Linked DNA regions of Saccharomyces cerevisiae S288C. The protein of the gene in region 1 purifies or fractionates together with the protein of each later gene. This does not show direct contact. Each region holds a gene or a part of one and is shown on either strand. Other genes may lie near its edges.

Evidence for each region.
Region 2: the proteins of REC8 (region 1) and SMC3 purify together in Saccharomyces cerevisiae (affinity purification with western blotting; 2 studies listed by BioGRID, with this or other methods). This does not show direct contact.

What each region holds. Positions count from the first base shown.
Region 1 is NC_001148.4:568,626-573,533, forward strand, and holds REC8 (Rec8p), read right to left. Parts: upstream 2,754-4,908; coding exon 711-2,753; downstream 1-710. Other genes in the region: methylisocitrate lyase ICL2, read right to left, coding at 1-371; HAA1 (Haa1p), read left to right, coding at 4,393-4,908. UniProt on the Saccharomyces cerevisiae protein: Replaces the SCC1 mitosis-specific cohesin to ensure sister chromatid cohesion during meiosis. Is cleaved by ESP1 shortly before the first meiotic division, and dissociates from chromatin, allowing sister chromatids to segregate.
Region 2 is NC_001142.9:298,657-304,937, reverse strand, and holds SMC3 (cohesin subunit SMC3), read left to right. Parts: upstream 1-2,088; coding exon 2,089-5,781; downstream 5,782-6,281. Other genes in the region: JEM1 (Jem1p), read right to left, coding at 1-1,757; APQ13 (Apq13p), read left to right, coding at 6,062-6,281; NET1 (Net1p), read right to left, coding at 6,124-6,281. UniProt on the Saccharomyces cerevisiae protein: Involved in chromosome cohesion during cell cycle and in DNA repair. Central component of cohesin complex. The cohesin complex is required for the cohesion of sister chromatids after DNA replication.

The sequences.
Region 1 (4,908 bases):
CGGGCCAACTGACTCATTTGTACAGGATCGATAACTCCCAACGTGTGAAGTGGAGTACCATTCTTGAAATTCTCTTCTAGTAAGTTGAACAGCTTTCGAGCTTGATAAGATGAAGGATAAATTGAAGTATTAGCAGGAAGGCTGCCCCGATGCTTTACAACATCCGTAGCTGAGTATGGACGACTGATATTCTTAAATCTGGCTGATTCCCACCATTCTTCTACTTTACTTGATTCCGAGAACACGAAGTCTTTAGTACTGCTTGCCCCGTTGAAAGATCTTCGCAGTGACTTGTCTGATGACAAAACCAGCTTCTTCAGTGTTCCCGTAGTTTTTCTATTGAAAGTTTTGTTGTTAATCATTGTAATCATCGGCGAAATACTAGAAAAGTCGAAATCGATATTATTATCGGCGCTGTAGCTTCTTTAGGCCACTAGTACTTTTATAAGCTCTTCAACCGCAACAAAAGTTAAGAAATAAGAGAGTTATTCTTAAGCCCATTTTTTACATTATATAGTGTACGTATGATATCGCTAGCATGATGTTAGTGTTTCGGCGCTTCTAATTGAAGAGCATATCCTTTTCTTCTCCAATGCACTTTTATTTCTTTCCCCGCAAGCATATTCGGCCCGGATCTCGGACTTGGATCATTAACCTGAGGACAGCGGCTAGTAACCGCTGTCGCTCATATGGAAGGAGAAAATAAAAATTCAGGCATATACAATTATTTCGTCCTCTCTTCTCAGTTTAAGATCTTTAGTTACCGCATCTGCAACAGGATATTCGTTCAACTTGACCATCCCTTTCGTAGCCAAATTCAGTAAGGATAGGAAGGCACTGGCGGCTATCTGTCTGCTGACACCTCTTTCTACATCATCAAAGTTAGCTCCCGTTTGAGCTTCGCCCATGCGGCTTGGGATGATGTCAACCAACAGCATCTTTCTCTTGAAAGGCGGATTGGAGCGCGTTGTTCTTCCGACAACAATTGATCTTTCTTTGATGTAATCGTAGAATTTTTTAGTTTGATAATCCAGAATGACGTCTTGAAAATTTGTTTTGTCCTGCTGCAAATTTTGCTGAGAGCCATCAGAAAAACAACTGTTGCTGGAATCGTCTTCCTCGGCAAAATTCTGTTCAGATGGCCCGACTCTCCTTCTGAGAGCACCAACTATATCTTCATTGAAACCACTAGACCTGGTTGAGTTTCTGGTATGACTTCTTCCAAAACTTGAAGGAGGTAGATTCAAATTAAAATCTAGGATGTTACCTTGAGAGTTTTCTTCAATATAGTGCCCATCTTCCAAATCCTCATTAATTTGTTCAAGGTTTAAAAGTAAATTATCATTTTCCATATCGGAAGAATAATTATCGTTCTTATTATTGCGAAAACTTTTCCTACCATATTCGTGACTTCTGGTACTACTTGAGCTTTGGGTTGATACTAAAGAATGTGCTCTTTTTCTCCCTCTTTCAACTGAACTAAAACCTTGGGGATATAAGTCCCATTCGCTAGTCTTTATATTGGAAAAGTCGTTAAATATACTTAACCAATTTGTTGAAAAAAATTCTTCCTCACCACATGACCTTACCAAACTACTTATGTTAGAGGTGAGAAAATTTTGGCCGGTTAGTTTTCTAATCCTGTTTTTTTCCATTAAGTGACTGTAATTTCCATGGTTGAATTTGAGAACTTCATTTGGATAACTCGTTTTGGCATCAAATTGTACCTTAGAAAATTGCCCACCTACATCGGCGCGATGTCCTCTTTGCATTCTGGTGTTAAGTTTCTGTTGAAGATCGTTTTCTTCTTCAGAAGCCTGCGCTTCTAACCCCAATTCGTAGTCTTTGAGATTGGCTACCGGCCCTTCATTTTCAACTGATGTATCTTCTCCTCCATTACTGTTATTTTCATTATCGTTCTCAAAATTCAACACCAATTCATCTCCTTGATAATTAAACTTGAAATCGTTTCCATCCTTCTGTGAACTTGAGTGAGAGCCTAAAGGTGTCCCCTGATGGCTCACTATATCATCTAAGTCCAGGTTAAAGTCCACATCAACGGGAATTTCATCCAGCGGAAAAGAATTTCTAACGTTAGATCCTAGATTACTTTGCGCGTCTGAGTTAGTCATGTCCCCATGAAGCTCGAACCTGTTAGAATTACTTAACTCATTGATGTAGTCTTGTCTCCTTATTGATTTAGCTTCCTCAATAAAAGATACATTATCTTGGAGAGTAGTGTTAAGAAACTCCAGTGCGGGAACTTTAGTAATATCATATAAGGGATCGTCATCGAAAAAAACGCATTCTTCCCAGGTGTAATTATTGTTTTTGTTTCCTATAATACTGTTATTACTATTCAATCCATTAATCCTCGTAGACTTATTTTTGGCCTTAAAAGCGTATACATCATTTTTTTGTAACTGCACAAGCAGGTGATTTAGGTCATTCAACACATACTCGGTTTTTTTATTATAGCAAATTGTCACTCCATATAAAAGATTAGAAATGTATCTAAGAGAAAAATCATTTTCGAAATTTTGAATTTCATCACATGTTTTTGGTATGGAAATATTTACGATGTCTTTTTTCTTAACGGTGGATGAAGATATGTTTCCAGTGGAGTTGCTTTTGTTTGAATAATAATTGTTACTTTCCTTTACAATGGAATTTCCCAACGCAGAAAGCAACCACACTGTTGTGAGGCCCTTATATTTCTTGTCATCTTTAAAGTTCAACGAAAGAGGTGCCATTGCAGAATATTTGTAATATTAATCTATATATAGCAAATGCTTTAGAGTTGCTGAGGCTAAAAAGAAATTATAGAACAACTATAAAATATTAAGTCCGGATACACTGCTTCCTTTATACCATGCCCTTCCCTTTATAGTGTAAAAACGCGTAATCTTAATCAATCTGATATATTGGTTTGCCGCCGAAGTCAAGTTCTCCTGCTAAAACGAGACAAAAAGAACACGTGAAAGAAGAAAGAAAAACGTTACGATAAAATAAGTTTTATACCTACTTTCATATCTACCAAAGGAACACAATGAATTGCCGTATGTTATTCTTGAAGTAAGAGTCAAGTATTATTTATGGACTAGTATTCACGTTACTAGTACATTATCACATGCGGTGTAAGAAGATGATATAAAAATTGAGGGACAGTAATCAAATTCAACGGAAGTCAAAAAGGAAGGATTGGTAATGTATAATATCGAAAAATGTGCGAAATAGTTGATAATTGTTGGAGTTTTATAGTTGTTAAAGGCTATAATATTACGTATTTAGAATATACTAGAATTTCTCTATGAGAAGAACCCACGAAGAGATCGATATTCTCGATATAATGGCATTATTGTTATCCTTTTCATCTTATGTGACTGTCATTCATCATCCTACTAAATTATCAATCCTTGCAATTAGCTTCTATTACACCTGATGACTGTTTTTCAATCTTTATGTGATCTTTTTACACCCAATGTGATAAAGTACTAGTAACATGAATACTACTAAACAGATGATACTTTAGAGTTTTCATTCCAACACTCAATTGTAAAAATAAGACAATATTATGATTTTTTGGCTGTATAACCACATCTATTTAGTAGCAGGGTGACATGTTACTCCCACACAATACTTCGCGCAAGTGGTTTAGTGGTAAAATCCAACGTTGCCATCGTTGGGCCCCCGGTTCGATTCCGGGCTTGCGCAATTTTTCCCCCTCGCCCTGAAGGGCGTAACGTTAACGCTTCCGGTAATTTGCGAATAATTTTTCTTCCCATTTCCCCTTTCTTTTCCCTTTAACATGTGGAGCATAGCAGGCTCTTTACTTTTTTACGCATTCAGACAGTCGGGAGGTCAATTGGTGGTGCCGGTTGTGGGAAAGAGGTAATTTTATTTCCTTTATTGGACATGATTTCAATAGTCACATTGGGGCAGGAAAAAGAAAAGGGAGAAAAAAATTCAGTAAAGAAAAAAAATAAGAAAAAGAGAAAAGAAACAAGAGAGGGCTACAGATTTCTAAATATCCTTTTGCTGCACATTTTTTATTTACCTGCTAATTGGTCTTAGTAATACAGAGTCGTGCATTTCCACTTTATAAGAAAAAAAAAAGGGATAACAGCACCAGCACTTGATTGAAAACTAGAAAGTTCACGTTTTATAAGTCCTTTCCGTTCTCTTTATCAGTTATAATAAAAGAGCCAAGACAAAACGTGGCAGGGAAGCTTTTCCAAGGAAAAGAGGGTTGTAATATTAAACAAAAACCGTAATCAAGCAAAATAAGACCCCGTGGTTTTTTATCATAGGAAAAGAGTTCTCTGTTGTCACTCTACCATATTTGACAAGAAAAAGGAAACAAAAGTATAGAAAAAAAAAACCTAAAAAATAATGGTCTTGATAAATGGCATAAAGTATGCCTGTGAGAGGTGCATAAGAGGCCATAGAGTAACAACATGCAATCATACAGATCAACCGCTTATGATGATCAAACCCAAAGGTAGACCTTCCACTACATGCGACTATTGTAAACAACTTCGAAAAAACAAGAATGCAAATCCTGAAGGTGTTTGCACGTGTGGCCGGCTAGAGAAGAAAAAACTGGCACAGAAAGCCAAAGAAGAAGCAAGAGCTAAAGCCAAAGAAAAACAAAGAAAACAGTGTACCTGCGGGACTGATGAGGTTTGCAAATATCATGCTCAAAAGAGACATCTAAGAAAGTCCCCTTCAAGTTCTCAAAAGAAAGGAAGATCCATTTCTCGTTCTCAACCAATGTTTGAAAGGGTATTGTCTTCTACTTCACTTGACAGCAATATGTTATCCGGCCACGGAGCACTATCAGATACCTCTAGCATACTGACGAGCACATTTTTAGACAGTGAGCCGGGTGTTGGTAAAATTTCAAAA
Region 2 (6,281 bases), on another chromosome or scaffold:
GACATAGTTTCGTGAATTGATTCTTGTTTGTCGTTATGGTTGGCCTTTATTTTGTCTGGGTGGTATTTTTTGGTTAAATTTAAATATGCTTTCCTTATTTCTTTCGAACTAGCACTAGGCGATACTCCAAGAATTTTATAATAGTCCTTTTTTGGGTCGTAGTTAGGCGCTGCTGGGGGTGCTTGATGTCGTTGGTGTTGTTGCTGCTGTTGTTGTTGTTGGAAATATTGCTGGTTGAAATTCCGATGTTTATGCTCTTTATAGGTTTGTAATTGTTTCTGTAATAATCGGAAGTTCTTCATCACGTATGGATTGGTCGACTCTGAGAGGCCGTTATCTTGGAAAAATTTGTTTATCTGGTCATATAATTGCTTTTTGAACTGTGAATGAGGTTTAGACCTACTTTTATTAAGTATTGAGTTTACCATATACATCAGCAAATGAGGATTGGAATTCCATACATCACTCAATACCGTCTCAGGTAAAGGTTTTTGCTCGGACTTAGCATCCTGATAGTGTTTCCATGTTTCTAGTGTTAGTGAATGCCTCAAACTCTTTTTACAGAACGGCGCAGCCAGTTTAGCTCTCTTGACGTCCGGACTCATGCTAGAAGCCTGACAAAGAATGGAATCAATGTATACTAGATAATCGGTATGATAGTATGATTTTGGTTTGACAAAACCATCGGTTATTGGGGGATCTTCGAATAAATTTTTTGCCAAAGGTCTCGACAGTTGAACGTCTTCTATCAATTGTTTGATAATTTCCTCTAAAAAGAAGTAGTTGTTTTTAAAGTTTGTATCTTTGTTAAGAATTTTCATTGGTGTAATAAATGGCTTCTTATCCTTCAAATAAAATTCAATAATTCTATCCCAACTTCTAAACTTTTTGTTCTCAAATGCATATGTTGCTGGATCCAGGATCTGTCTTTTTGATGGATTCACCTTGTTCAATTTGGAAATAGTCAGGCTTAGTTTTTTACATTTATCATAGTCCATATCAATGGAAAGGCATTTTCTTATATTGAACGACGCATCTGAGTTAAGTACAAAGGTCTGTAAAACAGATATGACATAATGAATCGAAAGTCTTGTATCTATGCTTAAGCTAGCCAAATGCTTGTCGAGGATTGTTTCGTAATCCAAAATGATAGCAGCAGCTAACGAAACGTCAATTTCTTCAGCTAGTTTGTGAAAAAGAACATCGATGTGCGTGGAGAGGACGTTAACATCGTACGGCGTTATGCGTAGCAGCTCAGAAATATCTTCCTCCACAGAAACGTCTTTGGATGATATTTTGTTTCTGATGGTTTCATTCAAGGACAGATATTTCGCATACTGATCATCCTTCTGATGCACCTTGTCCCACATCCCAAAATCGACATACAGCTCTTGTAGCCTCTTTTCCGCCAGCTTCCCAAAAGAACCTTTGTAAGTTTCATTAAAAACGATTTTTTCAAATGTGTTAATAGCTCTTAGATGTTGATCGTTGGATAATTGGATCAGCCCAATTTTGTAGTATATTTGATTGGCTAGTTGAATTACGTCTGACATATTTTCACTTGCTGGATCCGCAGTCATGCAGTTTTGTTCCAACTGCCCAGCGATCCATTGGTATTTTGGCAAGGATTCAGTGTCTACTTTTAAATTCTTGTTCAATCGTTGTAACTCAGCCAAATCACATAACTTAGAAGCCGATATCAGTACTGGCAAAATAACGCTATACACTAAAAGACAGTATCCCGAGATCAGTATCATACTTCGTTTCGTAGACGTTAAGATCGGCCTTAGTAATACACTAAACCAACAATGAATGAAACCTTCTGGGCCCTTCTCGCAACCAACTCCTTTCACTTGGAATAACTTATAAGCAGTTTTGGCTCTATTTTTGCCTGCCATCGAAGTGTACACCTGTCACATTTCACTATTAGGAACCTAAAGAAAAAAAGTCTCAGGAATAGGAAAAGACGCGACGCGTTAGGAAATGATTAAACTAATTAAAGATGAGTTTTCAACCTCATCTTTAAACAGTTTCACCATTTTTTTACAAGACGACCTGCTGGAGTAACGGTAATAGTTCACGTCTGCAATGTATATCAAAAGGGTGATAATTAAGGGTTTTAAAACCTACAGGAACGAAACCATTATTGATAATTTCTCGCCGCATCAGAATGTTATTATTGGCTCCAATGGTTCAGGTAAATCGAATTTCTTCGCTGCGATTAGATTTGTTCTTAGTGACGATTACTCTAATCTTAAGAGGGAAGAAAGGCAAGGGCTTATCCACCAAGGTTCTGGTGGTTCAGTGATGAGTGCCTCGGTAGAAATTGTGTTCCACGATCCAGATCATTCTATGATATTGCCCTCCGGTGTACTTTCGAGAGGAGATGACGAAGTGACCATTAGAAGAACAGTAGGGCTGAAGAAGGATGACTATCAATTAAATGACAGAAACGTGACCAAAGGGGACATAGTCAGAATGTTGGAAACCGCTGGTTTTTCAATGAATAATCCGTATAATATAGTACCACAAGGTAAAATAGTCGCCTTAACTAATGCCAAGGATAAGGAAAGATTGCAGTTATTGGAAGATGTTGTAGGAGCTAAGTCATTTGAAGTAAAATTGAAAGCTTCATTGAAAAAAATGGAGGAAACAGAGCAGAAAAAGATTCAAATTAACAAGGAAATGGGTGAACTAAACTCTAAATTGAGTGAAATGGAACAGGAACGTAAGGAATTAGAGAAATACAACGAGTTGGAACGCAACAGAAAGATCTACCAGTTCACATTGTATGATCGAGAATTAAATGAGGTTATCAATCAAATGGAAAGACTGGACGGTGATTATAATAACACGGTATACTCTTCCGAACAATACATCCAGGAGTTGGATAAAAGAGAGGATATGATTGACCAAGTCTCCAAAAAGCTATCAAGTATTGAAGCTTCACTGAAGATCAAAAATGCGACTGATTTACAACAGGCAAAACTACGGGAATCTGAGATTTCTCAGAAATTAACAAACGTCAACGTAAAAATAAAGGATGTTCAACAGCAAATTGAGTCAAATGAGGAGCAGAGAAATTTGGATAGTGCAACTTTGAAAGAGATCAAATCTATAATTGAGCAAAGGAAACAAAAGTTGTCTAAAATTTTACCTAGATATCAAGAACTCACAAAGGAAGAAGCAATGTACAAACTTCAATTGGCCTCCTTGCAACAAAAGCAGAGAGATCTTATCTTAAAGAAAGGAGAATATGCCCGTTTTAAATCAAAGGATGAACGCGATACGTGGATTCATTCAGAAATTGAAGAACTGAAATCTTCAATACAAAACTTAAATGAACTGGAAAGTCAATTGCAAATGGATCGTACTTCTTTAAGGAAGCAGTACTCTGCGATTGATGAAGAGATTGAAGAGCTAATTGATTCTATCAATGGACCAGATACCAAGGGTCAATTAGAAGATTTTGATTCGGAATTAATACACCTCAAACAGAAGCTGAGTGAAAGTTTAGACACTCGTAAGGAATTGTGGAGAAAGGAGCAAAAATTACAGACAGTCTTGGAAACTTTATTAAGTGACGTCAATCAAAATCAAAGAAATGTTAATGAAACCATGAGTAGATCATTGGCAAATGGTATAATAAATGTGAAAGAAATTACAGAAAAACTAAAAATATCACCGGAATCTGTCTTTGGGACATTAGGTGAACTGATTAAAGTCAATGATAAGTACAAGACATGTGCTGAAGTAATTGGAGGTAACTCCCTCTTCCACATTGTCGTGGATACCGAAGAAACGGCCACTTTGATTATGAACGAACTATATCGTATGAAGGGTGGGAGAGTGACGTTTATTCCCTTGAACAGGTTATCTTTGGACAGTGATGTTAAATTCCCCTCAAACACTACTACACAAATCCAGTTTACTCCCTTGATAAAGAAGATAAAATATGAACCCAGGTTTGAGAAGGCTGTCAAACACGTTTTTGGAAAAACTATTGTTGTCAAAGACTTAGGTCAAGGTTTAAAATTAGCTAAGAAACACAAACTCAATGCCATCACTTTAGATGGTGATAGAGCAGACAAAAGAGGTGTACTTACAGGTGGGTATCTTGACCAGCACAAACGAACACGTTTGGAATCATTGAAAAACTTAAATGAATCAAGAAGTCAACACAAAAAAATACTGGAAGAATTAGATTTCGTAAGAAATGAACTAAATGATATTGATACTAAGATTGATCAAGTAAACGGGAATATAAGAAAGGTTTCTAATGACAGGGAGTCTGTCTTAACAAATATCGAGGTATATAGAACATCGCTAAACACCAAAAAGAATGAAAAATTAATTCTCGAAGAATCATTAAACGCAATTATACTAAAACTAGAAAAGCTGAATACAAATCGTACATTTGCTCAGGAAAAGCTAAATACATTCGAAAATGATTTGCTTCAGGAGTTTGATAGCGAACTCTCAAAAGAAGAAAAGGAAAGATTAGAATCTTTAACAAAGGAGATTAGTGCAGCGCACAATAAGCTAAATATTACATCAGACGCCCTAGAAGGTATAACTACAACCATTGACTCGTTGAATGCCGAATTGGAGTCCAAACTTATCCCACAAGAAAATGATCTAGAATCCAAGATGTCAGAAGTAGGTGACGCATTTATTTTTGGTCTACAAGATGAGTTGAAAGAATTACAATTGGAGAAGGAAAGCGTTGAAAAGCAGCATGAAAACGCTGTGTTGGAACTAGGTACCGTTCAAAGAGAAATTGAAAGTCTCATTGCTGAAGAAACTAATAATAAGAAACTGCTAGAAAAAGCAAACAATCAACAGCGATTACTATTAAAGAAGCTTGACAATTTCCAAAAAAGTGTTGAAAAAACGATGATTAAGAAAACAACTTTGGTTACTAGAAGAGAAGAATTACAGCAAAGGATTAGGGAAATTGGGCTTCTGCCAGAGGATGCTTTAGTAAATGATTTTAGCGACATCACAAGTGATCAGCTATTACAAAGACTGAATGATATGAACACAGAGATTTCTGGTTTGAAGAATGTAAACAAGAGAGCTTTTGAAAACTTCAAAAAGTTTAACGAAAGACGCAAAGACCTTGCGGAGAGAGCTTCAGAGCTGGATGAATCTAAAGACTCAATTCAAGATCTAATTGTTAAGTTAAAACAACAAAAGGTTAACGCGGTTGATTCTACTTTCCAAAAGGTTTCTGAAAACTTTGAAGCTGTTTTTGAAAGATTAGTTCCCAGAGGTACTGCTAAGTTGATTATTCACCGTAAGAATGATAACGCTAACGACCATGATGAAAGTATTGATGTTGACATGGATGCAGAATCCAATGAAAGCCAAAACGGTAAAGATAGTGAAATTATGTATACAGGTGTTTCAATTTCTGTTTCCTTCAATTCTAAACAAAACGAACAACTGCATGTTGAACAGCTCTCAGGTGGTCAGAAGACTGTATGTGCCATTGCTTTGATTCTGGCAATCCAAATGGTTGACCCTGCTTCCTTCTATCTGTTTGATGAAATTGATGCTGCACTCGACAAGCAGTATAGAACTGCAGTCGCTACACTTCTAAAAGAACTGTCAAAAAATGCCCAGTTTATTTGTACGACGTTCAGAACAGATATGTTGCAAGTTGCAGACAAATTTTTCCGTGTTAAGTACGAGAATAAGATTTCCACGGTTATTGAGGTCAATAGAGAAGAAGCAATCGGATTCATTAGAGGTAGCAATAAATTCGCTGAAGTCTAAGAGATATTTGAAACGATTTGTATATAAAAATATCAGTTTTGCTTACATAAATAGCTATTTGTATGTAATTATTACCATTGTCTCCTATATTGGAATTTTAAAAAATTTTCTTTTAAGATGATACTGTTACTAAACAATAATGTTAAATATAGTAACCAAGCTTTGATAATTCGACGTACAAAAAAGATTACTTTTCTTAAAGAAGTTGCCCGCTTGCTGGGAAAAGAGGTAAATAAGAATTGGTTTACATGAAGATTTTTTAATATATTAATACTTTTATATGCTTGATTATTTTTTTTTACTAGCTTTCTGTGACGTGTATTCTACTGAGACTTTCTGGTATCATTTTTTCTTGAAATCTTTTATTAATGATGCAAATCCACCACTTGGCTTCTTCTTCTTACCTAAAGCAGCACTAGCGGATTTCGCACTAATAAAACTTTTTCCATCATCAGATGAATCCCCTGAGTCATCAGAATCTGACTCAGATTTAGAATCTG